4 separate regions of the Mus musculus genome follow, and all the other regions are reported to be linked to region 1. The links are microRNA targets in miRTarBase. Many come from high-throughput screens and were not tested one by one. Region 1 holds a microRNA gene; each other region holds the end of a gene's coding sequence.

The links. The annotated mature microRNA mmu-miR-344d-3p reads GAUAUAACCACUGCCAGACUGA and lies in region 1 at 3,690-3,711, opposite strand. An mRNA with a match to its seed (bases 2 to 7 or 8) in the 3' UTR can be bound and repressed. Matches are read on the target gene's strand: a 7mer-m8 pairs with bases 2 to 8, a 7mer-A1 pairs with bases 2 to 7 and ends in A, and an 8mer does both.
Region 2: the mRNA of Sort1 is a reported target of mmu-miR-344d-3p. Seed matches in the 3' UTR shown: 7mer-A1 at 2,158-2,164.
Region 3: miRTarBase lists Synpr as a target of mmu-miR-344d-3p. Seed matches in the 3' UTR shown: 8mer at 4,965-4,972.
Region 4: miRTarBase lists Usp6nl as a target of mmu-miR-344d-3p. Seed matches in the 3' UTR shown: 7mer-A1 at 975-981.

The regions. Positions count from the first base shown.
Region 1 is chr7:61,679,438-61,687,440 of GRCm38, forward strand. It overlaps Mir344d-1 (microRNA 344d-1), which reads right to left and starts at 3,755; the gene lies at 3,687-3,755. It overlaps Mir344d-2 (microRNA 344d-2), which reads right to left and starts at 5,914; the gene lies at 5,835-5,914.
Region 2 is chr3:108,355,054-108,363,056 of GRCm38, reverse strand. Sort1 (sortilin 1) reads right to left here. Exons shown (of 20, transcript NM_019972.3): 18 at 6,720-6,826; 19 at 6,369-6,480; 20 at 1,538-5,828. The coding sequence ends at 5,814. Among named protein-coding and RNA genes, the nearest start is that of Mybphl, 5.9 kb to the left of the region's middle.
Region 3 is chr14:13,611,183-13,619,185 of GRCm38, reverse strand. It overlaps Synpr (synaptoporin), which reads right to left. Exons shown (of 5, transcript NM_001163032.1): 5 at 3,717-5,462. The coding sequence ends at 5,205. Among named protein-coding and RNA genes, the nearest start is that of Sntn, 56 kb to the left of the region's middle.
Region 4 is chr2:6,436,340-6,444,342 of GRCm38, reverse strand. Usp6nl (USP6 N-terminal like) reads right to left here. Exons shown (of 15, transcript NM_001080548.1): 15 at 523-3,982. The coding sequence ends at 2,601. It overlaps Gm13388 (a long non-coding RNA gene), which reads left to right and starts at 6,739. Exons shown (of 4, transcript XR_373976.3): 1 at 6,739-7,827.

The DNA of each region.
Region 1 (8,003 bases):
TACTTTCTGACTTGAACCTAATATGGCTATCTCCTGAGCAGCTTTCCCAGAGCCTGACAAATACAGAGGTGGATGCTTGCAGCTAACCGTTGGACCAAGAGAAGATCCTTAATGGAGGAGAGGCAGAATGGAATGAAGGAGCTGTAGTCATTTGCAACCCCATGGGGGGAGCAACAGTGTCAGCTAGCTCATACCCCCAAAGCAACAGGGGACTGGACCACCAATCAAAGAATACACATGTAGGGACCCAGGGCTGTGAATGTATATGTGGCAGAGGATAGCCTTGTTGTACATCAGTAAGAGGAGCAGAACTAGGGTGTGAGGGAGTTAGATGCTCCAGTATAGGGAAATGCCAGGGTGTAAAGTTGACAGTGGGTGGGTGGTTACATGAGGGATCACCCCCAGAGAGTCAGGGGAGGGGAAATGGGATTGGTGGTTTCTGAAGTGGAGAACTGGAATGGGGATAATATTTAAAATGTAAATAAGAAAAAAGCCAATAAAAGGGGGGAAAAGTCCTAGAATATAGACAGCAGCCTGACTGGTAAAATCTACCCTTGCAGACAAATTTATTTGCTCTACTTCTTCTAACTGATTGAGAATGAACATTCAAATTGAGAATGGAAACAGATCCAATCAGGAGAGAGATCTCAAACCTAGGCACGGACATCAAAACCTGCTGTAATATTGGAGGTCTCCATCAGTGCTGCTGATTCATTTCCAACCCCCTTCCTCCCTGAGTTTCCCTATGGAAGTAGAAAATTTGAAAGTGAATGGCAGAAAAACTGTTTTTAACTTCTTCTATCTACAGTGACCAAAAGAAAAACAAGTCAATGAAATCTTGGAGCTGTTCTTATTTCTGGCTTCTTTTGCCTAGATTCAAGCCAGTTACCAAATAGGTTCTGTTTCTTTTTGAACCAAAAAGACTGTTACTTTTATTATGCAAATTTTGCTGCCTCTGACTAATAGCAGGATTTCTGTGTCTTCTTCACCAATTGCTTCTGTTGTAAACTATGGTTATAGAATATCCTAGAAAATATTATCTAATACTGTAATAATAATAGAGTTATTAGAATTATAGTGCCATGTTCTGCCCATGCAATTCTCCAAGCATACTCAGTTTGCATGAAATACTGGAGTGTCTCATACAATTCCACAATATTTGGTGGAATTTAGTGCTGAAAACAATATTTATATGATGTGAATATTCACAAAAGAGCATGGTGTATTTGGAACAATCAACGTGATGTGGTTGTAAAGGTGCCATTATATTTTCTGATATATATATATAGTTATAAGGTGTTTAAGACTGTCAGGAATATCTTCACCACAATAGATCAGTTTCATAAATGTCCAGATTATATCACAAAGAATAGGTCTTTAAAGACAGAATACAAATAAGCAGAAAATCATAGGTCTAAGAGGTAACCACTAGTAAAAGGTCACGGGGAATATAACTGCCCACTTTCTTCTTTTACATACTGTAATACCAAGGTGTGGATAATCAAAGTATAATATAGTGATTTCCATAAGGGGTCAAGATCCCCTGAACTGTTATTTAGCAAAAAATTGACTTGGAAAAATGACCACCTAGACAATCTAGTAAATTAAAACAATAATAACAGTATAAATTGTGGTTATATCTATAAATGCTTCTTGCCTTTAATGCCAACAGGTAACCATCATCACTGTCTGAAGAGTAATTTGATTCTGGATAATGTATGATCTACCGTCAGATTTTTCAGAGGTTTCATGGTGGTTAGTTGAGGATATTTGCTGCCACAGGAATTCTCACAGGACCTGAACAAAAGATCTGAAGATGTCAGACATCCCCTAGACTCTGTCATAAGCTGAAGCTTGAATATTGTATCTTCTTTGCAGAAGAAACAAACGTTCATGACTGAGAAAAGTAAGTCACACTTCAAATCAGATACCTGAATTTCCCATAGGTTGACAGCTACTATACGAAACATAGAGCTAAGCAATCAGTGCATGGAAGCTCTGAAATAAACAACCACAGGCTTTGAAGATTTTCACTGGCTCTGTCTGCTGACAGTGACAACACTCTCCCTTCTCTTTAGCACCTTTCAGTCTGGCAGTGGTTATATCCAGGACAAGGTAAGTCCTGGAGTATAGCCAGCAGCCTAACTGATGAAATCTTCCCCTGCAGACAAATTTATTTGTTCTCTTTGCCTCTGATTGATGGAGAATGTGTATTCAAATGGAGAATGAAATCAGATCCAATCAGGAGAGAGATCTCATATGTAGACATGGGCATCCAATCCTGCTGCAACACTGGAGATCTCCATCAGTCCTGCTGATTCATACCTCAACACTTTCACCATGGATTCTCAAAAGGAATTAGAAAAACCGAAAATGGATGGAGAAAAAAGCTGGTTTTACATTCTTCTCTCTACACAACCAACAGAAATACAAGTTAGTGGAATGTTAAGGGTGTTCTGATTTCTGGCTGCTTCTGCTTAGATGTAAGCTCTTTGCCAAGGTTCTTCTGCTTCTTTTAAGGCCTTTCTGACTGCGATTATTATCTTGCAAATTTTGTGTGGCCTGCTAAATATTGATGTGCCTGCATCTCCCTTGGAAATTGCTTCTGTTGTATATTCATGTTTTAGATTTTCCCAGTACAATAATGTTTTATAGGGTATCTTCAAAGAGGTTTTGGAATACAACGTTCAATATTCAGCCCATACCCTGCTCCCCAAGTATTCAGTTTGCAAGAAACACTGGAGTGTTTCAAAAACCTGAAAAATATTAATAGAAATTCAGTGTTGAAAACAAGTTTTAATGCTTTGATTATCCAAAACAAAACATTGTGTGTACAAATATAAATATGTGTTTTGAAAAATACCATGGCATTTTTAATGCATGTACAGATTAATGTGATTTTTTTATTGTCATGAATGTATAAATCAAAATAATAAAGTTTCATGAATATCTACACTATATGACAGAGACCTGACCTCTAAACACAGAATTAAAATAACATGAAAACTTAGGACTCGAGTTATCCACAAGTACAAGATAACAATAAAAATACTGCATCCATTTCTTCCTGTATGTCATGTTTTATCCAGTTGGAGATGATCTGGACATGATCTATTGATTTCTGTAAAGGGCTTATGATTTTATCGAGCTCTGAGGTAGCAAAGAATTGACCTGGAAGAAAAACATCCTAGAGAATCTAGTAAAGGATAAGAATAATAAGAAAACAAACAATAGTTGTCTTGTTGAAGGTCTGTGGCCATTACAGGTAACATGCTACTAGCAGCACAGACCCAATACTGCTTGGATTCGAGGAATGGTAGTATGTTTGCTGGTTAGTTACATCTGAGTTTACTTAGAATCTAAGTTGGCATGTTGAGGACATTTGCTGCCATAGCAGTCTTCACAGTGGCTAATTTAAGAATATAAAAATTTCCAAAAATTCCTAGTCTCTGACACAAGCTGAAGCTTGGATCTTGTATCTTCTTTGCAGAAGACATATCCTAGCACGACTGAGAAAAGTAAGTCAATCTCCAAATCTGAATTTTGCATAGACTGACAGCTACTATACAAAACAAGGACCATAGCAAACAGTGCATGGAGACTCTGAAATAAACAAGCACAGGCTTTGAAGATTTCCACTGGCTCTGTCTGCTGACAGTAACAACACTCTCCCTTCTCTTTAGCACCTTTCAGTCTGGCAGTGGTTATATCCAGGACCAGATAAGTCCTGGTGTATAGCCAGCAGCCTGACTGATGAAATCTTCCCCTGCAGACAAATTTATTTGCTCTCCTTGCTTCTGATTGATGGAGAATGTGTATTCAAATAGAGAATGATATCAGACCCAATCAGGAGAGAGATCTCATTTCTAGGCATGAACATCAAATGCTGCTGTAACCTTGGAGATCTCCATCCATGCTGCTGATTCATAGCTCAAGCACATCACCCTGGTTTCCCCAAAGAAAGCAGAAAAATGGATAGTGGATGGCAGACAAACCTTCTCTCTACACAAACCAACAGAAATACAAGATAGTGGAACGTTAAGTATGTTCTGATTTTTGGATTCATCTGCCTAAATTTAAGCTCTTTGTGGGAGTTCCCCTGCTTTTTTCAAGCCTTTCTGACTGTTTATTATCTTGAAATTTTGCTGCCTGCTGAATAATCGTGATGTGCCTGTATCTTCTTCCCCTATTGCTTCTGTTTTATGTTCTGATTGTAACCTTTCCTAGTACAATAATGTTTAATAGTGTATTCTCAGAGAGGATTTGGAATCCTAACTTCAATATTCTGCCCATACTATGCTTCCTAAATACTCAATTTTCATGAAATGCTCAAGTGTCTCAAAAAATCTGAACAATATTAAATGAAATTCAGTGTTGAAAACAATATTTATATGCTGTGATTATGTAAAACAAAACATTGTGTGTAGGAAAATATAATGTGTAGTTTGAAAGAAGACATGCCATTTTCTGATGCATATAGAGATTAATGTGATTTCTACTGTCAGGAATATATTATTCAAAATAATACTGGTTCATGAATATCCAGAATATATAACAGAGGCCTGCTCTCTAAAATCAGAATGAAAATAATTAGAAATCTTAGGACTCAAGATATCTACGAGTACAAGATCACAATGAAAATTACTGTATCCATTTCTTCCTTTATATTGCGTTTTAACCAGCTGGAGATGATCTGGACATGATCTATTGATTTCTGTAAAGGGTTCCGGATTCTAAAGAGCTGTTATATAGCAAAGAACTGATGTGGAAGAATATCAGCCAAGAAAATCTAGTAAAGGACAAGAGCAATAACAAAATAACAAAATAAACAACTGTCTCTTTTTTCCCCCACCCGGCAACTGTCTCTTATATATATATAGAGAGAGAGTATTAAGTGTAATCTAGAGTTGAAAACATTGTTCATGGACTGTAGATAATCAAAACCATATGTAAAGTGAAGTAAAAATTAAAGTGTGCTCATGAAGAGGACAGAGATTATTTTGATGTACATACAATTGTAATTCGTTTACTACTGTAAAGATTATCTGAAAAAAAAAGTAATACATTTCAGAAATGTCAAGGATATACAACAGTGACCTGGACTCTTAAGACAGATTCGAAATAACAGAAAAAAAATATAGGTCTCAAAGGAGTCACTAGTACAAGTTCCCCATGAAAATTTCTGTGCTCATTTCATTTCTATAGTGTATATAATACCAAGGTGGAGATCTTCAGGAGATGGATGATATATTGATTTCCCTAAAGGACCCATGACTCTCTTGAACATATAGTTAGTAATGAAGTGGCTTGGAAGAACATACATGCTCAAGATTCTAGTATATTAAATATAAAATAACACTATAAACAATGTTTCAATTGTTGAATATTCATACCATAAATAAAAACCTGCTGCCAGAATCACTGCCCTAAGGATGCTTAGTTCCTGAGTAAGGTAGTATCTGTGTCTATTAGTTACATCAAGATTTTTCAGAGACTCCATGGTGGTATGTAGCAGGCATTTGCTTCCACAGCACTTCTCACAGTGTCTAACCTAAGTTTGTGAAAATGTGAAAATTTTTCTTAGTCTCTGTCACAAGCTGAGATTGAATCTTGTATCTTCTTTGCAGAAGACATATTCCAGCATGACTGAGAAAAGTGTGTCATTCTCCAAATCTCCCATAGAGATTCTCCGAATCTCCCATAGAGCGACAGCTACAATACAAAACGACCAAAGCAATCAGTGCATTGAGGCTCTGAAATAAACAAGCACAGGCTTTGATGATTTCACTGGCGCTGTCTGCTGACAGTGACACAAGCACTCTCCCTTCTCTTTAGCACCATTCAGTCTGGCAGTGGTTATATCCAGGACCAGATAAGTCCTGGAATATAGCCAGCAACCAGACTAATGAAATCTTCCCTGGCAGACAAATTTATTTGCTCTCCTTGCTTCTGATTGATTGAGAATGTGTATTCAAATAGAGAATTGAATCAGATCCAATCAGGAGAGAAATCCCATATGTAGACATGGACATCAAGTCCTGCTGAATACTTGGAGCTCTCCGTCAGTGCTGATTCATACCTCACTGGCTCCTCTCTGGCTTCCTGGAAGGAAGCAGGGCTATTAAAAGCAGAGGGTAAAAAATGTTTTAAACATATTCATTCTACACTGACAAACATAAAAAAAAGTCACTGTGACTTTGGAAATCTTCCTATTTCTGGCTCCTTCTTCCTAGCTTTAAGTTATTTGCCAGAGATTCTCAGTTTCCTTTTCACCTGACTGTCTATCTTACAATTTTTTGCTGCCTGCTCACCCATTGTGATGTGCCTTTGTTTCCTTATCCAAATTATCTGTTGTATGCTCAGTGCATGGCTGTTCCTTGATAATTTAATGTTTATATTATATTTTCATGCTTCCACAAAGAGTTATTTTAATACTAAATTTAGTATTCTGCCCATGCCCTACTCCACCTGTACTCAGTTTGTATGAAATGCTGCAGTGTCACATAAATCTGAAAAATATTTCATTCAACTCAATTTTCAAAACTGTGTTAATATGCTGTGGTTATTGACACTCAAATATGGTATATGTGGAACTTTTAATGTGTGGATTTTCTATTCTATTTTTTTTTATTTTCATAGGCTATTTTCTTAACTTATTGGTTATCCTCCATTCCCCTTTTTTCACACAGTAACCCCTTCTCCAATACTCCACCCCTCTGTTTCTATGAGGGTGTTCTCCCACCCACCCATCAAAAATCCACCTCCCTGCATTTACATTCCCATATACTGAGGCATTGAGTCTTTTCAGGGCCAAGGTATTCTTCCCCTATTGATGCCTGACAAGACCATCCTTTGCTACATATGAGCCATGGGTCCCTACATGTATACTCTTTGGTGGGTGGTTTAGTACCTGGGAGCTCTGGAGCAGTTTGGTTGGTTGATATTGTTGTTCTTCCTATGGGGTTTCAATTCCTTAATGTGTGGTTTTAAAGAGGTCAGGGAATTTTCTGACACATATAAAGCTCTAATGTGATTTCTACTGTCAGGAATACATTAATCTAAGCAATACAGTATCAGAAATATCCAGGATATATAACAGAGACCTGATCTCTAAAGACAGAAAGAAAATAGCATTAAATCTTAAGACTCACAGTATCCTTCAGTAAAAGGTCACAATGAAAATTCCTGTGTCCATTTCTTTCTTTACATGATAAAATACTAAGTTGGCTATGATCAGAACATGATATATTGATTTCCCTGAAGAGCTCATGACTCTACTGAGTCATTAAGTAGCAAAAGACTGACCTGGAAGAAAAGCTGGCTAGGTAATCTAGTAAACTACAAGAATAATAACAGAATAAACAATGGTTTTATTGTTGAGTGTCATTGGTCATTAATGGTAGCATGCTACTGTCGTCACTGTCCCAAGGCTGCTTGAACTCTGGGTATGGTAGGATCTGTGTCTGTTAGTTACCTCTGATTTTTCTTAGACTACAAGGTAGGATGTTGAGGACGTTTGTTGTCATTGCAGTTCTCACAGTGGTTGATCTAAGGATATAAAAATATCAGAAAATCCATAGTCCTGTGTCACAAGCTGAAGCTTGAATCTTTTATCTTCTTTGCAGAAGGCATGACAAGACAAAGAAGTGACACTCAAAATCAGAGGCCTGAAATTCTATACAAAACAAGGATCTAAAGAATCAGAGCAGGAACTCTCTGAAATAATCAAGCACAGTCTTAGCACCTTTCTGCTCTCTCTGTTGCTGACATTGGCCCAAGTACCCATCTCTTTAACATGATTCAGTGTGGTTTTGGCTATATCTAGGACCAGATGAGGCCTGAAGTATATAGCCAGCAGGTTATCTGTCAAGTGTTCACCTGCAGACAACCTTTCTGTTGTTTTCCACACTTCTGATTGATTGAGAATGTGGATTCAAATAGAGAGTGGAATCAGATTCAATCAGCAGAGAGATCTCAGATCTAGGCATGGACATCAAATCCTG
Region 2 (8,003 bases), not on the chromosome of region 1:
ACTTTACATCCTGACTGTTGTCCACCCTCCCACAGTTCCTCCTCCCATCCCTTTTCCCCTTCTCTGAGAGAGTGGAGCCCCACCCAGGTATCCACCCCCACCTTTCCCCTCCCCCACACCCCTGCCAGGCACATCAAGTCTCTGTGGGGCTAGGTGTATCCTCTCCCACTCAGGACAGACAAGGAAGGCAGCCAAGCTAGAAGAATGGATTCCACAGACAGGCAACAGCTTTAGGGACAGCCCATGTTCTAGTTGTTCGGCACTCACTGCAGAAAGAGTTGCACATCTGCTATATATGTGCAGGAGGCCTAGGTCCTTTGGCTAGTGCATTCTCTTTGGCTAGCGGTTCAGTCTCTGAGACCCCCAAGGGTCCCCCCATATTGCTTTTGAGAGGTGTCCTACTTTGACCTGGGGCGTTTTGATCAGGCTAGGCTAGCCATTGAGGTCCAGGAACTGTCCTGTGTGCGCCTCTTGGGCACTGGGATTTTAACATGGGCTTGGATACTGCCTTCGTGTTTGTGTAGTGGACAATTCACTGACTGTTCTCTCCAGGTTAGGGGGACCTCTTTAATCCATTCTTAGCCATTTTTGTGGAGAAAGTGGCCTAAGCCTCTTGTGTTAGCCCCCCCCCCCGCCGCCCCCCCCCGCCACAAACACACACTTGTACTGCACATGTAGAGAATTTTAAGGAATCAAATTTAAAACTACAGACTCCTCAGTTTGCCCATCATAAAGTTCAATTCAGAGCTGGACATAGTGACACTCACTCTGAAGGTGGAAGTAGAAGGATGACCATCAATTTTGGGGCAGCCTGAGCTACACAACAAGTTCTAGGCCAGCCTGATTCTGGTGAAGGAGTCTTGAGATGTGCTAGAATCCCTTAGACCCGATTGGATCGATCCTCGGGGTAAAAACTCCTGCTGGATAACAAGGCCTGTGCCCCGCCATCTCCAGACTGCGATGTGGGAACACCGAATGGAAATATTGGTTCAAAATGCTATCCCAGGGCACAGTGGGATAGCTAATGGCTGAAGGCAGGGAGCTCCTTCTGGTGACATGGGGGCTGAGCACGCAGGTCTGCGAGAGGAGCAAGGGAAGGAGAGATACACGTAGAGCTACGGCCTTCCAGTGTTCATTTGACAAACTAGCTGCAGGGAGCACACAACTCCAGAGTGTAGCCATCTGCTGTTGTGTCCAGACGTGCAGAAACAGACACTGGAGAAAGTGTACAGTGTGCTGTTAGGTTTCCACGGAGGGAGGGAGGGAGGGAGGGAGGGAGGGAGGGAGGGAGGCAGGCAGGCAGGCAGGCAGACCTCCACAGCATAAAGATCAAGAAAAAGAAAAGACAACAAAAGTTAGAAACTTACAGACAAGCATCCATTTCCTCATAAACTGCCTCCCTCCCTCCAAGCTAGAAAGGCTCAGTGTTGACTTTCAAGTTGATGCTTCTTTCGTTGCTAGATTTTGCTTTTTGAAGGCAGAAAGCTAGAAACACTCACTAAAAAACAAAACAATACAAAACTGTAGCTTACTCATCTTAGTAGGTTAGGTACCAAAGTCCAGGCTGTTTATTTCTAACCCAAATATTGCAAATATACAGAAAATTACCAGTACAAAGTTAAACACATCCAGATTTATTTACACAATGCTAAAGAGATTTTGCGTTTTATTTCCATTTTGTGGGACGTCGTTATGGGGTCTGCCTTTGCTGTATGGTTGACACAGGTCTTTGAAACTTGATAATCCCACCTCACATGCAATGTTCTGTCCCAAGCGGGCAGAAGTCTGCAGTTTTCAGTACACATGCAGTGGTGGTCTTGATCCTGCATTACACTTTCCTAGGAAGGCGGCTGCCCCTCACAGCCGGGGGAGGGGCCACATGCTCAGAAAGGGAACAAAGGACTAGAGGGGAGGACAACAGGCACGTGGGGACCCTGAGCGTTTCTGTGCATGGGGATAAGAAGAATGCAGCCCAAACCCTTCTCCCTGGAGGCTCAAACACAGGGACTCAGCAGAGCTGCCAGGGGACAGGAAGTCACCTGACCACAGCTGAGGGCATGCGGAGAATGAGAACTGCACTAGGAATTCGGGGCATACTGATAAATCATTAACATGTACACTATACAGTTTATACATGTATATATGTACACACACATATATATAAAGGTACAGATTAGCTTGTGTTATTTCATATAAACAGATGCAGAGAATGTACCGGTGTGAAGAAGTGCACATAGCAAGTCCTTGAAGACAATTTCAAGTTAATGCTCCAATTCTTATTTTTGTAACACATGGACCCATGAAATCCCACCTGTACCTGTGGTTTCCACAAGCCCATAGCAGCCTGCACCTGGTGAAGCACTGGCTGATGGGATAGAAAATCTGGCACCTGCTTGCCGACTCTGGACTTCCCGGTCACCACGTCGTCATATGGCAAATCTTAAACTTTGGTTTTGTTCCAAAAGACATTAAAGTTCAGGTTACTTTCCCCTCTGGTAGGAAGGTGATAGAAAACTGAGGTGTGCCCCGCCCTCTGTTAGCAATCCTGTGCATCCCTGTTGAGTATGGAGTTGAGGGGGACCTACTGACAAGCCCTTTGCCGGGGGCGTGCATAGAGGCAGGGCTCTTCAGAGCACTGGAGGACTCTATACCTATACAGTTTACCTGCAGAGCAATAAAATGAGCGATGCCATGCCAGCCCTTTCACCCTGGGGCTTGATGGAATGGCCCTGCAGCCCTCTCAGCATCTTGTATCCTGATGGGGGGACAGTTCGGAATAGTTATGCCCAGCCATGGTTTATAGCCCCGGCCAATAAAAGAGCTGAGGGTGGCTCGCCCATACTACTACACTGCCCAAGAGAAAAGGCTAGGGGACCAGGTGTGAGCAGGCAGGGGACTAGAGGTAAGGCCCAGAGCATGGGACTGCCTGCCAGAATGTAGACTCAGAGGCAGTGGGGTCCAAGGCTCAGCTGTTAAGACTGACAGCTCCTGAGTCCACCCTATAGCTGCTGTCACTCTCCAAGGGCCTCAAAGTAGTGTTCCATTCAATTCACGGCACAGGCCCATTCAGCCATGACCTCTTGCCTCAGGAAAACCCCAAGCCCCTAACGTCCCAAGCCAACAAAAATATGTTTTGGATTTACAACTCAGGCCACTATGGATTTTCTGATATGTCTGAGCTACCTAGCAGTGTTAAATCCTATTGCCCAAGTCTCTAAGTCTCTAGAACCAACGTCATTTGCCACCACAATGCTGAGAATAACTATGCCCACCAGCCAGGCTTATGATGCTCCAAGGCTGCGCAGGGCAAACCAAAGCACAAATTCTGTAAAAAACAAAATAAATAAAATGGCTTAAAGAGCTTCAACTTCTGGCTGAGGTTGCACATCTGTGCGTGTGAATGCTTCTGAGAGCCGTTGTAGGGGCAGAGCCCAAGCCCACAGAGCCAGTGAGCTAGAGACAGAAGTGAAGGGGCAGAGAGGGACTGATCCAGAGGCTGGTCCTGTGCTCCCCGACAGTGGCTATCCCAGGGAGAGGGGGTGCCCCCAGTTACCATCACCTTTTATTTCAGCCATGAAGCAGGGGAATAATATTTTGTTTTTCAAAAAGAAAACAAAAAGGCGTCAAAATAATGGCTCTGCAGGAAACGCCTCTGAGGAGTCCTCGGCCCGGCCCCAGCAAGCCACCCATGAGAAGCTCTGCTGCAAGGACCCGGGGTCTTGCATAGCCGAGAGTTTCAGAGCTCCAAAGACTCCGGGCACCTGATTCAGCGTTGGCTCCTGGGCTCTCTCTATGGCAAGAATAGTGCGGTGCTCAAGAGAAATGAGCCAGAAACTGCCAAGCTCTACAGAAATCCCAGAAACCATTAGAGGCAGAGCACCCTAGTCTCTGGTCAGGGATGAGCATTAAGTCCATCCAGACACTAGGGGAGATCACCATACGTTGGCCTATCTACCCACACCAATCCGGGGATGTACTGGGAGAGACAGCGTGTAGTAGAAATAGATCTCTCCCCTTGGCAGGAGGTGAGGGTGGACAGAACTTTTGATAAATTTATGAGCTGCTATATCTTTGGAATTATTTTAGAATCATTACAAAATGAACAAGCTAAAAGACTTGGAGCATTCTGGCTCTAACAGGTATTGATTCTCTTCCCAGAAACGACCCTAACTTCGTTTTCTAACTGACGTTCCATGACTCACTGAGCTGCAGTTGACATCTCTTTGGCTCTCCCTCCTCTTCTTCTCCCTCCTCTTCCTCCCCCTCTTTCCCTGATGCCGTTTGTTCCTGCTGGGGAGGAGGACTCTGCCATCTGCTCGTGTGTTCTGACAAGTGAGTTTGGCACATTTACTTTCCACTGACTTTCTAGCCATAGAATAAAGTGACAGCAAAATGGATCTACTAGAGAATGTCCTAGTGGTAACTGGGAGGGACTGTGATCAGCACAGCAGGGGTAGGGAGACCAGAGACCTGCCACACCATCTTCCTCTCCAGCTAACATCTAAGCTGTACTCAGATCGCTACAGCTTTCCACTACCAGATGGCCGCCCCCACATCCGCCGATTGCATTCTCTAACTTATTTAATTTGGAAAAATATCAGATAAAATTTTTCCTTAAATTTAAAACATGAAAGCAATGTATTGACCACACACGGCATCATCTAGAAATGTGCCTTCAGTGGGGTTAGCCAACAGGTTCTGGACAACAAATAACTCAGCAAAACTAGGGGAAGGGTGAGGATAGTCTGGGAACATAACTTTGAGCTTGAAAAAGTCCATCAACCTGAAAACATTCCCAGTCCCAGTTCTATGAACAGTAGCAACTTAGGAGGAAGCAATAAGCAGCCACAGTGGTAGTTCAACTCTGAGCCTTTACAGTGGGTGATGGGAAAAATGGAAGCCTACGACGGTCAGTCCTGTGGCTGCACTGTGCACTGACCAATGAACTCCAGTAAAGGGATGGCGGAGCCTGGGCAGAGCCACTGGCACAGCACAAAGTACAGCCTGAAAGAGCTCAGAAGCAGCCAGTTTTGTCTTTAATAGGTGTCAGAGCTAGTCAATTCTCTGCCTCCCTCTTGCCACAAGTTAAAAATATTGCCCTGTAAGTTTTCCCTATTTAGTGTGTTGGAAGCACATGATTAAGTTAGTTGCCAACGGGCAATTAACAAGGGTATTGCCTAATTAAACGGGAAAAGAAAAGTCATTGTGCCCTACAGTAGTGGTTGGGGGTGAGGTGGGGATGAGGAAGCCGCACAGGGCTGGTGCTCGGTACTCTCTGAACAGGGCTGTCTGCGGATGGAGAAAAGCTGTCCAGGTGTGCCAGTCATTACACCCTCTGCTTCCTTCTCCGAGGCTGCCTCACATGACCAGCAGAGCCCAGGGACAGCACCAGGTATGCGGTGGGAGTTGAGTTGATGCTGGAGTTGGCAGATGCCCTGGGGTGGGCACCAGAGGGAACACACAAGAGCGGGGTCAGCGAAACAATCCCTTTGAGTCCCAAGTTATGTCCCTTAATGCACAAAACAAACCAAGAGAAGCCTAAAGCCCACAGTCTTACAAAAGACAGAAATTGAAACAAAAATGTTAAAGAATTTAAAATTTCCCCCCTCTCCTCAGAGCCAACTGTGAGGTCAGTCGGGGTCCCCCACCCCCATCCTGCTTTCTTTAGTGTAGGTCCTTTGGGCTTGGACAGGAGTGGCAGAAACAGAGCTGGGGCCGACGAGGTGGGAAATTTATTTCCCCAAGTCGGAGCCTCAGGGAGTGTAGGAGGTACTGTGGCTCCACGCACACGCAGTCCCAGCTCCTCTGAAGAGCTATTCCAGGAGGTCCTGAAAAGAAAGACACGTGCGCGTTATTGACAAGTTAGGAAGCTAGTTTGAAAGCAATCACCTGCTTGCTCTGCGCCTCTTGTCACTCCAGTGCTGCTTTGGGCTCATGCATAACTTGGTCCCAGGTGTATTTTTTTTTAACTTAAAATAGATTTACTTATTTTCATTATATATGTATGGGAGGCCAGAAGAGGGCATTGGATTCCCTGGAACCAGAGTTCTAGTGAGTGGTGAGCCATCATGTCTTCGCAGAGAATGAAACCTGGGTTGCCAGAGTGGCAAGTACTTTTAATCCCTGCGCCATCTTTCTGGAGACTGTCTTGATCAGAAGTATAAAAGGAACTCTTTTTAAGACTTTATTCCCAGCACTTGAGAGGCAGACACAGGCCTTGGTGAGTTCGAGGGCAGCTTGATCTACTAGACCTAGAGCTCGTCCTAAGACAGCCAAGGTTAGACAAACCCTGTCTCAAAAAACAAACAGATTAAAAAATAAAAAGACTTAAAAAATTTGGATAATTCCTCAAGAAGAAAGCGCCTCACCTCATCTGAGTCGTCGTGATATCCGCTTTTAGCGTGGGAGGTTGAATCCAAAGCCTCTACGCCGTCAGCCTCTGCGTGCTGCTGTAGCACCGAGTACCGGTGCACCAGGAACCTGTAGAGGGGACCCTGCTTAGTTCCCGAGCTGAAGAGGGAGCATTTGTTATAGTATGGAATTTCCTCAGTTTTCCACACTCATGGCCGCACTGCATGCAGATAGACAATACACAATTTAGACCTGATCTTCAGGGTTATCATTAACTCCTTAGTGTCCGCCAAGAAAACTGGACCACATGGGCTGGGGTGGCTTTTGGTTTGGATTTGGTAGCTCTGACCCACTTCCGCACTTCTTACCTTCCGCCACAGACATATTTCTTCACAATGAGGACTCCTGCTACGACTGTGACAAGCATCAGTCCCACGATGGCCAGGATAATAGGGACAGAATTTGACTTGGAATTCTTGATAAATTAAAACAAACAGAACAGGAGTTAGGCGTGCAGAGTCTATGGTTGCGCTCATATGGTCCAACACACTTAGCCAGGGTACATCTCCACCCCCCAGATGACGGGGCTAGCACACCAGCATAGGGGAATCTGAACACCAGCCTGGAAGCTGTAGTGCAGGGCCTTCAATGTCAAAGTCACAGTGGAAGCCTTGGCCACTGCCTCAAAGCAGGCATGTCCAACCTTTTCACATTGCAACGTGATGCTGTCATCTATAAAGTTCATGCTTGAGAACTGCTCAATTGAGTTACGGGAAAAAAAATCGCATGAAGAATTCATGTTTTAAATAAGTGTACAAATTTGTGTCAGTCCGCCTTTATAGCTATTCTTGGTTGTATGTAGGCCTGGGGCGACAGGTTGGACATGCCTAGAAGATCGCTTTGGTCACCTGTTCCCTGTCCCTCATTTACAACTCCTAGAGGTTATGGGTGGAGCAGGAGGAGGCTGAGAGAATGGGGTGTTGAATGGGTCTATTACTAGACTACCCTCTTTGAAGACGTGTGCCGATGCTGTTCCAGGAAGGCCACTATATGACACGAAGATCTCAGTTGTTACTACCTTTTGGCATGTTTTTACAGATAAGCCTTATCAGATCATTGTTTTCGTGTAACCTACCTGCTTCTGGGTAGGAGATAGGAAGTGTGTGTTTTCAGTGTATCCAAGAGGAGGCGGAGCTGGATTCTGGGACAAGCTGTGTCCCTGTGGGCGGGAGTCCTGTGCAATCATACACACACAAACACTCTGAGGACAGCCACCAGCAGTCCAGGGCAGGGGTGCAGAGAAGGGGGAACTGCCTCCCCTTACCAATACACACACCCACACACTCTTCCCTCATTGCCTTCAGGGTCCCTCCCCTGTCAGTGTCTCCTCCCTTTGAACAGCAGGGATGAGGTGCTGGGACTGTCAGGCATTAGGAAGATGGGCCCTCAGGTTATCTCCCAAGTCATTGCTGGCCCTGCGATGCTTAATGAGGAGGTCTCCCTAACAGTTACCTCATCTGTAGAGCTCCACCAGACAGATGGGCACCACTCTTCCTATGATTTGACGTGAGACGGTCCATTATGATCATAGCTCAGCTTTTGTTCTAGCACACTTGGCATGCATCAGCACAAAAGTCACTACCTACAGTGCA
Region 3 (8,003 bases), not on the chromosome of region 1:
GGTAGTCCCCTTAGCATTATCTTTCTTACACTTACAAACTGCAGGTGCTTGTAGACTGTGGCTATGGAAGAGTCACAGGGCTTTGGAGAAATAACTGGGCAAGAAAGGGGAGACAGGAAAATGTTGGGGTGAGAAGTCTAACTTAGGTGATCTGTTCACCAGAAACCCTTTCCTACCTGTGTTCTTCGACCATTCAAGGAAGCAGGTCCGTTAACATATTGAAACAATCAATAAACAGTGAACCTAGGAATCGACATTCAATCTTGGTGATCCCAGGCACACCAACAGTTCTGATTATTCCTCATTTTTCTCCCTCCATAACGGCTAAAAGCTACCTTAGTAAAATCCCTGTTTGATTAAGGCAGTATTTTTTATTAGGTATTTTCCTCATTTACATTTCCAATGCTATCCCAAAAGTCCCCCATACCCTCCCCCCAGCCCCCCTATCTACCCACTCCCACTTTTTGGCCCTGGTGTTCCCCTGTACTGGGGCATATAAAGTTTGCAAGTCCAATGGGCCTCTCTTTCCAGTGATGGCCGATTAGGCCATCTTTTGATACATATACAGCTAGAGTCAAGAGCTCCGGGCTACTGGCTAGGTCATAATGTTGTTCCCCCTACAGGGTTGCAATTCCCTTTAGCTCCTTGGGTATTTTCTCTAGCTCCTCCGTTGGGGGCCCTGTGATCCATCCAATAGCTGACTGTGAGCATCCACTTATGGGTTTGCTAGGCCCCGGGAGAGTCTCACTAGAGACAGCTATATCTGGGTCCTTTCAGCAAAATCCTGCTAGTGTATGCAATGGTGTCAGCATTTGGAGGATGATTATGGGATGGATCCCTGGATATGGCAGTCTCTAGATGGTCTATCCTTTTGTCTCAGCTCCAAACTTTGTCTCTGTAACTCCTTCCATGGATGTTTTGTTCCCAATTCTAAGAAGGGACAAAGTGTCCACACTTTGGTCTTCGATCTTCTTGAGTTTCATGTGTTTTGCAAATTGTATCTTATATCTTGGGTATTCTAAGTTTCTGGGCTAATATCCACTTATCAGTGAGTACATATCATTCAAGTTCTTTTGTGATTGGCTTACCTCACTCAGGATAATGCCCTCCAGGTACATCCATTTGCCTAGGAATTTCATAAATTCATTCTTTTTAATAGCTGAGTAGTACTCCGTTGTGTAAATGTATCACATTTTCTGTATCCATTCCTCTGCCGAGGGGCATCTGGGTACTTTCCAGCTTCTAGCTATTATAAATAAGGCTGCTATGAACATAGTGGAGCATGTTTCTTTCTTACTAGTTGGAACATCTTCTGGATATATGCCCAGGAGAGGTATTGCGGGATCCTCCGGTAGTACCATGTCCAATTTTCTGAGAAAACGCCAGACTGATTTCCAGAGTGGTTGTACAAGCTTGCAATCCCACCAACAGTGGAGAAGTGTTTCTCTTTCTCCACATCCTCGCCAGCATCTGCTGTCACCTGAATTTTTGATCTTAGCCATTCTGACTGGTGTGAGGTGGAATCTCAGGGTTGTTTTGATTTGCATTTCCCTGATGATTAAGGATGCTGAACATTTTTTCAGGTGTTTCTCAGTCATTCAGTATTCCTCAAGTGAGAATTCTTTGTTTAGCTCTGAGCCCCATTTTTTAATGGGGTTATTTGATTTTCTGGATCCACCTTCTTGACTTCTTTATATATATTGGATATTAGTCCTCTATCTGATTTACGATAGGTAAAGATCCTTTCCCAATCTGTTGGTGGCCTTTTTGTCTTATTGACGGTGTCTTTTGCCTTACAGAAGCTTTGCAGTTTCATGAAGTTCCATTTGTCTCTTGGTCTTACAGCACAAGCCATTGCTGTTCTATTCAGGAATTTTTCCCCTGTGCCAATATCTTCGAGGCTTTTCCCCACTTTCTCCTTTATAAGTTTCCGTGTCTCTGGTTTTATGTGGAGCTCCTTGATCCACTTAGATTTGACCTTAGTACAAGGAGATAGGAATGGATCAATTCGCATTCTTCTACATGATAACCACCAGTTGTGCCAGCACCACTTATTGAAAATGCTGTCTTTTTTCCACTGGATGGTTTTAGCTCCCTTGTCAAAAATCAAGTGACCATAGGTGTGTGGGTTCATTTCTGGGTCTTCAATTCTATTCCATTGGTCTACTTTTCTGTCGTTATACCAGTATCATGCCATTTTTATCACAATTGCTCTGTAGTAAAGCTTTAGGTCAGACATGGTGATTCCACCAGAGGTTCTTTTATCCTTGAGAAGAGGTTTTGCTATCCTCGATTTTTTGTTATTCCAGATGAATTTGCAGATTGCCCTTTCTAATTCGTTGAAGAATTGAGTTGGAATTTTGATGGGAATTGCATTGAATCTGTAGATTGCTTTTGGCAAGATAGCCATTTTTACAATGTTGATCCTGCCAATCCATGAGCATGGCAGATCTTTCCATCCTCTGAGATCTTTTTTAATTTCTTTCTTCAGAGACTTGAAGTTTTTATCATACAGATCTTTCACTTCCTTAGTTAGAGTCATGCCGAGGTGACAGCAGATGCTGGCGTGCACATGGACAAAGAGGAACACTCATCCATTGTTGGTTGGATTGCAAGCCGGTATAACCACTCTGGAAATCAGTCTCATGGTTCCTCAAAAAATTGGATATAGTATTACTTGAGAACCCATCTATACCATTTTTGGACATACACCCAAAAGATGCTTCAACATATAACAAAGACACATGCTCTACTATGTTCATAGCAACCTTATTTATAATAGCCAGAAAATGGAAAGAACGCAGATGTCCTTCTACAGGGGGGAATGGATACAGAAAATGTGGTACATTTATAAAATGGAGTACTACTTAGCTATTTAAAACAATGACTTCATGAAATTCTCAAGCAAATGGATGGAACTAGAAAATATCCTGAGTGAGGCAACTCAGTCACAAAAATACATGCATGGTATGCATTCACTGACAAGTGGCCCAAAACCTGGCAATACCCAAGATAACAATTCACAGACCACATGAAGCTCAAGATGAATGAAGATCAAAGGCTTCACTCCTTAGAAGGGTTAACAAAATACTCACAGGAGCAAATACAGAGACAAAGTGCAGAGCAGATACATGAAGGAAAGGCCATTCAGAGACTGCCCCACCTGGGGATCCATCCCATATACAGCCAAAAAACACAGATACTATTGTAGATGCCAAGAAGTGCACTGATAGGAGCCTGATATAGCTTTGTCCTGAGAGATTTTGCCAGAGCCTGATATATACAGAGGTGGATGCTCTCAACTAGCCAATGGATTGGGCATGGGTTCCCCAATGGAGGAGTTAGAGAAAGGACTGAACGAGCTGAAGGAATTTACAACTCCATAGGAAGAACAACAATATCAACCAAACAGAGCTTCCAGGGTCTAAACCACCAACCAAGGAGTACACATGGAGGGACCCTTGGCTCCAGACATATATGTAGCAGAGGATGGCCTTGTTGGGTATCAATGAAAGGAGTGTCCCTTGGTCCTGTGAAGGGTCGATGCCCCAGTATAGCGGATGCAAGGGCAGGAGGCAGGAGTGGGAGGGTTGATGGGGGCACACACTCATAGAGACAGGAGGAGAGGGCATCTGAGAATGCAAATAAAATATGCACAAAAAGGTGGAAATAAAAAAAGTGTGAGAGGGAGGGGCAGGAGATAGGGGCATAGATGCTAGAAGAATTGCATTTAACCTTTATTCTCTCATGATTAAAGCCAACAGGGCCCTATAGTTATGATTCTTCATTGTTCAGTCAGTTTGTATGCAATAACTTTATTGAGGTCAAATAGATATCACAGTACAGGATTTAATAAACAATAGGATTTAAGAAACTAGTTACAGATAGTATTTAAGACAGCCTATTTTGTGCTAAACTGCTTTCAACATCACAGATCACACATACAATTTGCACATCAGTTACAACTTTATCTAGAAGCACAGATGTTTAGCTTGCCCTTCCTGTTGGGCATTCTTATTTCAATTGAGTTAAAATGAAGAAACGAAGATTGGTTTCTTCTTAATAATGAATATGTTCTGTGGAGAGTTTCATGAGAACCCTCTTTGGGAATAGAGTGACATAGAGAAGCCATTATTAATCTATGTATAAGCAAATCGAAATTAGTAATTCTGTTAAGCTATAACATGAGATTTCTAAAATTAGAATGAACAACATATTAGCTTCAAAAATAAACAAAACTAAACAAACGTTCATTTGGTCACATAAAACAGCATAGCTCATTTCTTAATACTACTTAAACTATGGTGTCTAAATCTGCCTCTCTGGATGCAAAGAAAACGCCACTCTACAAGCACAGGGTCATTGGACGTTATCAGTCATGGCTCGTAAGATAAGATACACGAAACTGCATAGAAAGTTACAAGAATGTAAATATTTACTTAAATAAATCAGAGAAGTGTTGAGCAGTCACCTTACAGAACACTATTGACAAATAGGGAAAGCTCCCAGACTTTAGCTCTAATGCATTCAGAACTTGGGTAAAGTCAGAGTGACAAACTTGCAAAGTCTAGAAAGACATGCATACATGTCTTTAAATACTTGCTTAACAAACTCATGATGCAAACTGAAATGTCTCCAGAAATACAGCCAAACATTCTGTGAGAAAATACTTATTCATGCATGAAATCATATAAACATTGTTTTATCAAGTGAAAACAATAGAGAATAATTATCAAAACAGAGTTACAGTTCTAAAAGGCCTAAACTAAAAAATAGTAATGCATGCATGATGTGATTCATCAAATAGTCATCTAGAAATCAGTAAAATATTTGTTGCATCAAAACACATACGAAAACTGTATACTATTTAAGGTAATCTATGCACATTACATACTAGAGACTTTAAGCTACAAATGCTTCTACTATTTTTACCACAATACAAAACGACCATAAAAGTGTCTGTGTATATAACAAGATACTTTCTAATTACCCATCTGTGATGAATAATTTATCTCCTTATGACATCTCATCTCTAAGTACCATTTATCACCACCCAGGCCTTTGTGTCTTAATGAGGACTACAGATCTCTGATTTACATTCAACATTCTCTACATTAATAATTGATTGAAACTCTTAAAAATTCTTCTGCTACTGAAATGGAGGGTGGTGATGCTATCACCAGAAGAATTTGGGTGATACTCCGTTATATCTGATTGTTAAAGGAAGTGGGACCACTAGGCTGTTGGCCAAACTCATCGGAAGTTGGCCCCAGATTCGCCTGCTGGCTGTACCCACCACTTGACCCATAACTCTCTTGGTTGTAGCGTCCTTGATTGTAGCTGCTGGAGTGCTTCTCCATGGGGTCTGAAAGGTATCTCTGTCCAGAGGAATGCCAGCCAGTCTCCTTGAAAACAAACCAAATGTTTCCAGCCCAGAGGATAAAATTCAAAAACCCGAAGACCTGAAAGAGAATTGGAGCAAGTGGTTAAAAGCCTGGACAGGGATTTTAGATGAGCCTGCTCACAGGGATTCTTCACAGTGCCATGGGTGAGCCTTGGCTTTAATTTTGAAGTCTGTTTAATTTTTTGCCTCGAAACCACTGTTTTGACTTAGGATTCCTAAACATTGTCTATATGCCAGCCATTACATGAAGGGTATTGATTCCCTTAGTCTAAGAGACCAGTGTTATTATATATTATATGCCTATATTAAAATGTAGAAACAAAATTCAGCAAGAAAAATAACCTGGTTCAAAGTCACATGTCTTTGTAAGTACCAGATCTGTGATTCAGCTCTATTCTGTCTGCTCCAAAGACCAAGTCCCCACCAAAGCCATTCCTATCTTCACAAATCTGCCATTCTTAATTTGTATAAGGTAATAGTTAAGTCATGTATAATTGAGTATTTTCAGTTTAATAATGGTGCATTAGGTGCTTCTTGTCCAAATGAGTTGGTTCACAAAAGCACGAAACATGCAATGGTACAGGTGATAGAAGAGCACATGCATGTTTGTATACACCATACCAGAGTTTCTAAGTGACTGTGCCCATGCCTCTCACCTTCAGGAGTAAATGGTAAGAGCATGTTATGAATGGAGTACAGGATATAGAGAAGAGTGAAGCATTTTTTTAAAAATAGGTGTGAGGCTCTCCTATGCAAATTTTTATCTTTTTATCATGAACCTTGCTGGTAAATCACTGGACCCGTGTTGCTTCCTCAGGGTCAGCCGTTTGGTGAAGGCAGAACTGTTCATGATTGCAATGGGCTTATGTAGGAATTACATAATATATAGTTTATTCATTAGTCATTGGTTGACTTGGTAAGAGACACTCTATTTTAACAACCCTATGGGGAAAAGGCAACAACAGCATGACACAAATTGGTGACATTAGAGTATAGTACTCCAGCATGACTTTGTCTAGTTAAAATGGCTTCTTGGTTAGTCTAGTGTGTCATCTGTCTTTCTCTCTTCTCTCTCTCTCTCTCTCTCTCTCTCTCTCTGTGTGTGTGTGTGTGTGTGTGTGTGTGTGTGTGTGTGTGTTTGTAATGTTGATATCCCCAACATGCAGGGAATGAAGGCCTTAGATAAAAGGTATTACTAAAGTATTCCAATGTTTTAACACCAGGTATATCACAGCACCACCTGATAGCAAGCTGAATGACAGGGGAGTGAAGGTAATATTTCTGTCTTGGGGGGGGGTAGTTGAGAGTATTCAAGGGGATGTGTATAAAGCTGGACACATTAGTTAGCACTAAATGATAAATCAGACTTTGAATCATGTTCTGTAGTAGTCCATGGATTGTGTTTAGTTGACTGTCACCATTGCATAAATGGAAGGAGTCTTTGGCTGTGAGGACATATTCTTGAGAAATAACAACAGAGTAGACTCCTAATTGATCTCACTGAAGACTGATTCTCAAGACCACTTTCTCTCTGCCTTCCTCCCTTTTCCTCCCATTTTGTTTTCAATTGCAAATTCTTGTTTTCTTTAACATTAACCTAAGCCTTAGGTTGCTTGGCAGGGATGATATGAAACATAAGTAAATCATCTGTAATAGTTGAGTAATCATAGCAAATTAGTTAATCCCCAAAAACCTTGTACACGGAGTATTTATATGTACAGTCACTAGGATATTTTCCATTTAGAAAAATATCTTGGTTTAATTCCATATTTGTAAGTCTATTCGAAAATATGGTTCAAAAATTATAAAATGGTCTCTTCTGATATAAAGTGATGACTCTGCCTAGAAATGTGCTTCTATTTGTTTGCTTGTCTTGGTCATTCTCCATGTCCTTCCTACTACTCAGTTTTTTATAAGGGCCCAACTTAAAATTAAGAACAGAGAACATCCTCTGGAGATGTGCAAGGAATACTGTTTTCCTGTCACAATCATTATGGAATTATCAAAAATCCCATTGACTGGTACATTTTGTGACATATGAGTCTTTGAATCCTGCTACTTGTTCCACTTGAAATGGGGAGAGATTTTATTTAAGATTAGATGTGAGGACATCAGAAAGATGGTATAAGCCTGTGTATAACATGAGAAAGAACTGAGAGGTAAAATGTGGTTATCCATAAAGATGATAATCAAGTTATCTGTAGTAAAGCTGGAAAAGCAAAAGTAGAAACTATGGACAGAGTGTAGTTATATTTAGTAATGATTGGACACAAACTGAGATATTGTAGTCTCTTTCTTCTATTGTTTCTTAAATACTATAGAATCCTTGAAGACCATGCTAGGTCTGTGCCTATAGCTTTTTCAAGTAGTAAAAGCATTAGGAGAGTTTGGATCCCATTCTACCATTACCGTTGTTAAATCCAGAAACGTTTTCTCGGATCCTTAACAACACCCCTTTGCATCTATAATGTCTAAATACCTCACTTATATTAAAGGGCTACCATAAAGTGACAAATGTCAAAGAAAATTATATTGGTTATCACAGAAGAAAATATCATTTCTTGACCTTTTTCTTTGTAGAGATTACAAATCATAGTGG
Region 4 (8,003 bases), not on the chromosome of region 1:
CACAGTAAGGTCAGACTGGGATATATAGCAATACTGTCTTCAGAAACCAAAACAACAACAACAAACCATTTTTAAACATCCCACAATAGAAACAGAAGACAACTTGGGCATTTTTCCTAGAGAGAGTTTCAAGATGACAGTATTAAGAGACACAAGGGAAATATGCTTCTCTGATACCTGCGTTTTACCAAAGATAGGATTTAAGTGGTCTGGGGTGAGACTTGATAATTAAAAACAAAATAAACAAACAAATGAACAAAATGAACAAACAAACAAAAGAAAAAAAAACCCAGACCCTTAAGTTCATTAGTTAGATACAGGTCAGCAGGACAATTCCTTAAGAAACTTATACTACCACACCCAGACACTTACTTCTGACGTAATGGGCAAAGTGACCATGAGGGAAGCCTAAGCCATGGCCCGGCCACTGTGGGCACGCCGTTATGGGGCATGGCTGCTCATCTGCCTGGAATGTCCCCAGCAAGCCTTTCTATAAATAGATTTTGAATCACTTTGTCAATATTATTTCTCTTATCATTTCTTTTATTTAAAAATAAATTTAAAATAAAATTTTATAGTGGCAAAATAATTTTAAATTAAAATTTCCTACTTGAAGCTAACAGAGATATATATCTTATAGAAGGGAAGACTTTCCTGCCATTAGTAACGAATGCTTAAGCCAAGGAAAGGTGATGCGGTTCAAAACACGGTCTCCCTGGAAATGCAAGCAGAGAAGCACAGCGTGGGTAAACGCTGCTGGTGAGCCCGTGGTGCATCTGCCAGGCCCTGCAAGGCCAGGACACACTTGCCACGGGGAAGCTGCACACAGAAGACACAGAACAAAATACACGGATTACTTTTAGCATGTTAAAAACAATCAACCACATCAAAAAGTATACAGATAAAAAAATGCCATAGATGACATAAGAAAATAGTGTGTCCATATATAGCATATATATATATATATATGTATATATATAATCTACATTATTTACCACTATGATATATACTTTCTGAAGAGGCAGAGAGCTGCCATCATGAACTAAACTGTACAGCTTGGCTCCTTACAAGTCACACTTTAAGACTGAAATTAATATCCTCAGCTACATGTCTATATACATTTATATCTCACCTTCCACATGATCTAAATCAAGAGCCTGGTTATTCTGTCAGGAGTTGGGAGTTTCAGTGTGGTGTTCACCTTTAATATACTGCATTTGCTTCCACACTTAATAACATCATTACCACATTAATTAACTTAGATTAGAATCATTATATACATAAAAATATTGTCACGTTTGCTAGATAAACAATGTTACTTTCATGAAAACATATTCTTGTACCTCACAAACTTAAGTCCCCACCTTGGAGCAGGGGGAGTGTCACTGTTGGACTTTCTAGTTTCTGATATTCAGATACAAGAAGAGGGTAACGGTGGGCGAGCACCTACACAGACGCCGCCATCGCTCTTGGAGAACCCAGCACTTTGTCAGTGTCTCGGTGACAGTAGTGTGTGATAGCATAAAAGGAATCATCACCTTTTTTAAAAACCATGAACTTCAGTTATTTTTCACTGAAAAAAAATTCCAAAAGTATGAAACAAACTACCCTTTTTCCCCTTTTTTTACAAAGATCAAAATTCTAGATTAAAATTCCTTATTAATCATTAGGGTATTTTTCACAATTTCGACCGGGGCCCAGTAAGTGTTAGCAGTATCCACCCACTGTGCTCTGTGAAGACCGAGTGCCAGAGAAAGCCTGTGAGAAGGGGAAGCAGGGTGAGAAGCAGCCTTCCTTATGGTTAGAGCTGCTTCCCCACGACTGTGAAATGCAATCTTCTGCGGCCTGGGGCCCTGCAAGGTCTGACTTCCCTCACACCCGGCCAGACCAGAGCCCGGGGCACAGCAGCACCAAGACTGCTGGAGATGAGGGGACTCAGTGAGCACTGTGCAGCCGCTCACTCGGGTAACCGACCCACTTTAGGCACCATCAAGTGGTGAGCCTTTAGCTTTCAGGAGGAGATAAAATGGCAGCAACTGAAGGAGAATGACATTCTGTCAGGCGCTGGATTCATCTCTAGTCAGTTTCAGTTTAGAACCTGGGTTAAAATATGTTTGGGCAGGGTGGGCAGAAAGATAAAGGGTTAAAAAAAATCCACTGTTAGTCTATGTATCTAGATTAAAGGTGGTTTTAAAGACAAAACCTATATGCAGTTGCCTCGTCTGTCTATGAAAAGGCGAGGGTCGGCCCTCAGAGTATCTGCTCTATAGCGGTCAGTAGTCTACTGTTCTAACAGCAACGGAACAGAGCGGGTCTGGGGAGCTACGAAGGGACCAGCACAGAGAGCCGCCCTGTGTGTGCAGCCCTCGTGCTACTGCTGGGTCCCCAGGGTCCCCTATTAAAGGTTCAGCCAGGATGCAGCTGACCCACTCTTCTTCAGCAGCCTCTGCAGAGGATGAAGCCTTCCCACACTCTTATCACTGACACACACTGAGCTGCGCACGCTGTTTACAATATAAAAAATACTGCTCTGGCAATTATAAACATAGCAATGTGGGCATATTGTTTCTATTCTCTTGTCAGTGAATACAGCCACACGCTCACAGCAACACTGATTCCTGCACAGAAAGTCCCTCTCCATTTCTGTAGTGATGTGCGGAAGGTGAGGGCCCTGCATATGGATACCCAGGAGGACTGGCATCTTCCACAGCTGCAGACATCTTATACCTCACTGGACTGTCTACAGACACTTCTGGAAGGCCATGGGCCTGAAACGGTATGTGCTGAAAGGCTGCATAGTTTGGTAAATTGCTTAAGTGGCTACGGTGAGCATCCCGAGTCCATGATTGGCCATGCATCTCCGGTCTGTATGTGTAACTAACTTCTGACCATTTTCTGTTCTCTGGCAAATAGTCCACCGGAGGAAGGATGAACTGTCCATTCTTTGGTGACCCCGAACTGCCGTAGCCCCTGGCACCCATGTCAATGGGAAGGACTTCAATTCGACTAGAGGGCAGAACAACAGGAGTTGGGCGGCTGTAGGCTTTCTCTGGAGAAGTGTCAACTGAAAGAGAGGAACCGTAAGGTCTCCTGGAAGGGTTAATTTGAGGCCTGGGGCTGATCTGTGTAGACACAAAACCACTGTGAGCAGTAGGGACGTGTTTTGGAGAATTTCCATGGTAGACAGGGGGGTTGCTGTAGGAGGGTGGATATGCAGCTCTGTGGTCCTCCTCTGGTAGCTGGGGTGGGTATCGTACATGGCTGGGAGGCTGCACTTTAAACGTAAACTTGTTGGGTACTTTTGGAGGACTGGGACTTGGCTCCGGGTGCTTCCTTGGACTGTGAGGGTGAGTCCGCTCTGGTCCCTCTTCCGCAGATGCCCCATGCTCACTCTCACCCCCAGGCACGTTGTCATACTGGGAAGCGTTAGAACCCCGCTTCCCTTCACCCCCATCCAAAGCCTTCATCTTCTGCCTTGAGTTTGGCAATCGGGTCTCAGCAGAGCCTGGGATGGCGACGGGAAGAGCGGGAAGAGCTGAGTGACTTTTGCCTTCGACGGCATATTTAGTAGTTCTTTCAATAGCTGAGGCATCTGATGGTTTTCTCCACTTGGGCATAAATTCCTTCCTGACGTTTGAAATTGCATTGCTATTTTGGTTAGCAGCTGCATGGTTATAGTGTCTGGAACTGTCCTGCATACCCGGTGAAGGTTTTCTCTGAGACTCTGCCTCATGCTTGAGATTTTTACTCCCCTCATCCACGGACTTCCGCCGTGACTGGCCGGCTCTTTCTGGTGTGCCGTTTCTACTGTGATGGACAGGAGAGTGCTCATGGTTCTTGCGAGGCGATCCATCTTCTCTCCTGCTGCTTGTTTTGGGGCTGGGCCGGCCAACACTTCTTTGTCCGTTGCTCAAGTGATTAACACAAGCAGACTCAGGTGGAAGCTGCCCCAAGGGTTTCTTTGGATATTCATCCTCCTTACCTAGAATGAAGGACAACAAACATGTGAACGACTGTAGATTATCTTATGTGTGTAGAAACACACACTTTCATACTGCCAAATGTCAGCATTAACAGGAAACGAATTGTAGAGAAAAGGACACCAAGACAGAGCTAACGTCAGAGCCTAAGTAGGCCCTGTGCAGATGGGGACAGCTCACAGGAGAGGGCCACCAACTGCCTAACACCCAATTCTTGTATTTCTAAGCAGAGGTGATGCTCTCAGGAAACAGAGCTGGTCGGTGGCTGAGAATTAACATTACGTTGCTTTCATTTTAACACATCTCAACTAAAGCAGTTTGGAAATCAGTAAAGTCTTTGCTTTTACCTTGAAGCAGATCTGTCAAAGTTGAAGGTCATTTGATATCTTACTCTGGTCCACAAGTCCTCCCCAGACTGTTATTATCTTGGGTATTTCCACAGTATAACTTACTAAGAGAAAAATACTCTCTAACTGAAAACAGACACCCTAACAATACCCTACTTAAAAATGTAAAGACAGAAAAAGAAACTTAAAAATGATGAAAACCATATTAGGTAATTTATTTAATTAAAAAGAGTTGTGAGTGTGCCTGGCTGGTGTGCGTGCGTGCGAGTGCACCATGGGCATGCCTGGGGCCTGGGATACTGAAGACAACACTAGATGCCCTATGGGCTACAGATGGTTGTCAGCTTGGAGTCCTTCCTAAGCAGCAGTGGACCTGACAGAGCCATCTCTCCAGCCCACTTACTTTTATATTCTAAATAACTAAGAGAATTGTGAGCAGTTGGAGGGAGGTGTAATAAAATGACCAGTTAGCAGAAAGTATTTTAAATGCTCTATCACAACATTACCAGATTACTATGAAAAATTTAAACATTTCATTTGCAAAAACTGAAAAGCATTTTAACTGTTATTATAAAACAACATCTTGAGTATAAGGTCCCTGGCTGTGACCTGCAGGAGGTGCTGTGAGCAGGAGGTGGGGTTTTCTCATGGCCCCACTCACCACGGTCTTGTTACTTCTTTTCCTTTCTTTTCTAGGGGTGGAGGCACTATGCTTACTACTCTTGGAAGTCTCATACTGCTTGTTTCTTTATAGGAAGTTTTAGTTGGTACATAGCAGCTATAGATCCATTTCTTCAGGATCTTAAAATAATGATTCAATGTTTTGTTGTGCTGGGCCCAGAAGGCTGCCAAGCTAAGCGCCCAAGTGTGATCTTGGAACCTACATGACACAGACAATAAATACATGCAGCAGAGTAGCATGTGGAAGGCAGGTCCTGGTTCCCATCACCAGCATTCCAACCCAATCCAGTCCCAGCCAATCCAAACAAAACAAAACAAAAAACAGGAAAACTAAAGTGGTAAAAACAATTAAAAATCAGGAGTAGGTGGCGCAGAACAGGAAGGAGAGCCCTTAAGAACAAGACCCTCTCTCTGAACAAGGCAGACAGGCCCCATGAGGAGGCCAAAAACACAACACAGAGGACTGGGTAGTTTGTCCTGAGTTAACTGAAAAACTCTAGAAACTTTTCAACAGATGAGTTATAATCTGAGGTATAGCATAGCAGTTACTTTAAATAGTGGTGTAGACTTAAATTGTAATAATAAGCAACAATGACAACAGTCACAATTGTTGACATTCATTAAGTAATTAATCCCTGTGTATCAGTCAACACTGTGACACAACACTGACAACAGGCACATGACTTCATGATCTCCTAGGGGAGGAAACTGAGGCAGAGATGAAGTTGCTCAAGGGTTCACGGCCAGCACGGAGCAGACACAGAGCTCAACCCAAAGCTGACGCCAGCACCCACCCGCTTCCCACAGTCTACTGTGGTGAAGGCCTGAGACACTAGATTTGTACACACATTGACGTGACATCCAACTGCAAGCAAGAGAAAGATTTAGGCTGAAACTCTAGACAGGTGCAGGAAAGTTTATTTTCAGTATAAAGAACAAGAAAAGTTTTTGCCTCACACTTTACATTTAAGTAAGTAGATTAGTATATGGAAGGAAAACCGACTTTTGGTGTGAGTCTAGCCTTCACCAGCTTAGCCGCCTCTCCAGCCCGGTGGATCCCCCTGCGCACTGTGTAAGGTTGAAGGGGATAAGACTGGAGAGAGGCTCAGCAGTTAAGATCACTGGCTGTTCTTCCAGAGGGCGGGCATTCGATTCCCAGCACCCACATGACAGTTTACAGCCTCTGCAACCACAATTTCAGGCAATCCAAAAGAAGTCTTCCCACTGCCCAGTGGCTTCCCCTTTCGTATTCCTTCAGAGCAACGGCACATGCCCACACTGACAGTGGGGAACACTGAGTAAAAACATCCACAAAATTATCTACTATAGAACATAGAACATATAATATCTGCTAAATGGCAAGCCCTCATTAGGTCCCTGTGTGCAGAAGGCACATGGCAAATATATGAAATGCACAAAACCTTTAGAGGTCATGGCCTTTTTGCTCCAGTACAATTTTTCAATAAGGAGGCAGCAGACAGGAGTATAAGAAAAGTGCCTCCTAAGATTATAAGTGCTTAAAAATCAATTTCTCTAAATGTTAAAAGCAGTGAAGCAAGCTAGCCCAGAGTCCTTCGCAGCAAGGGAGGGGCCTCTCAGTGTCTGGGCCAGAAAGCTATGCTTGTGTGTGCCCAGGCTAAGGGATACTTAAGGCATGGCTTGCGTCTTAGTTACTCTTCTATTGCTGTGACGAGACAGCACCACCAAAGCCACTCTTATAAGAGAAAGCATTTACTGGGGCTTTGCTTACAGTTCATTATCAGTGTCAGTTCATTATCATCATGGTGGAAACAAGGTAAGCAAGGTGCAGACAGCAGACAGAGAGACAGTGACTGGGCCTGGCATGAGCTTTTGAAACCTCAAAGCCCACTCTAAGTGACAGGATTAAGGCCACAGCTTTTAATCCTTCTCAAACAGTTCCATTAACTGGGGACCAAGCATCCAAATCTATGAGCCTACAGGAGTCAGGCTCATCCAGACCAGCACAGGCTATGACGGTGGCATCGGCAGACGGCTTCCAGAAACACTTGCTGACTGACTGTTGGGCTACACTACAACTGTAGTGCTCCCATGAATCTCAGCAGGGCAACCACACTCGCAGTGCATGCGTTCTTTATATCTAGCAGAGCTCCCCTCTCAGAAGCAGGTTCTAAACGATGGCTCAAAGGCCTTTCAGTTCCAGCAGCCAGACCAAACCCACAGCTTCTCTGTCAAGCAATCTGACCTCTGTTATAATGAAATTAAGGAGACAAATCTACATGATTTCCAAGCAAAGGTGATTTTCTTTTCTTTTTTCCTTCCTCCCTCCCTCCTTTCTTAGTGAAGATTAAGTATGCAACTTTTACTGGGCCAAGGAAATACTGTGTGCATCTCATAGGAGCAACAAATGTCACTACCAAGTATGATTTTATGTTCTAAGTATTTTCTATCACAAAAGTAGACTTAAGTAAATCTGTGGACACTCAGACGCACACGTGCGCACGCGATCTCTGGGTTAACTCATGCCCTATGTCCTCATTCCTCCAAGCACCCATGCTCAGCAGACTCAAGCACAGGTCACATAACAGCAGACGCATTACGTCATTATGTGGGCGTTTCTAAGTCAGTATTTACCGCCCCTCGCCACAGCTTTCAAACAGAGACCTTCTCAATGAACAGAGGAATGTGGCTTTGCACCTTCTGATGTTTCTGCTCAGCTTCATGTCAGAAGTGTACTTTTCCCTCCTCCTTCCTGAGAGCACAGGTGAGCTCCAGCCATGCACTCGCAGAGCTTTGTGTGAGGACATCGTATCAGTGGCTTTTCCCCTCTCTTCAGTCATGTAAGCCCTGACTATCTTCTCCCCACCCACAAGAAGGTAACTTAATACAATTTAGGACAAAACACAAATGTTTACTTCTTCTTTGTTTTTGTTTGTTTGTTTAGCATTTTTCTCTTTAAAAGCTCCAAAATGCCAATAGTAGTGTAACTTCCCAGGAAGGTGAAAGGGTCTCTTTT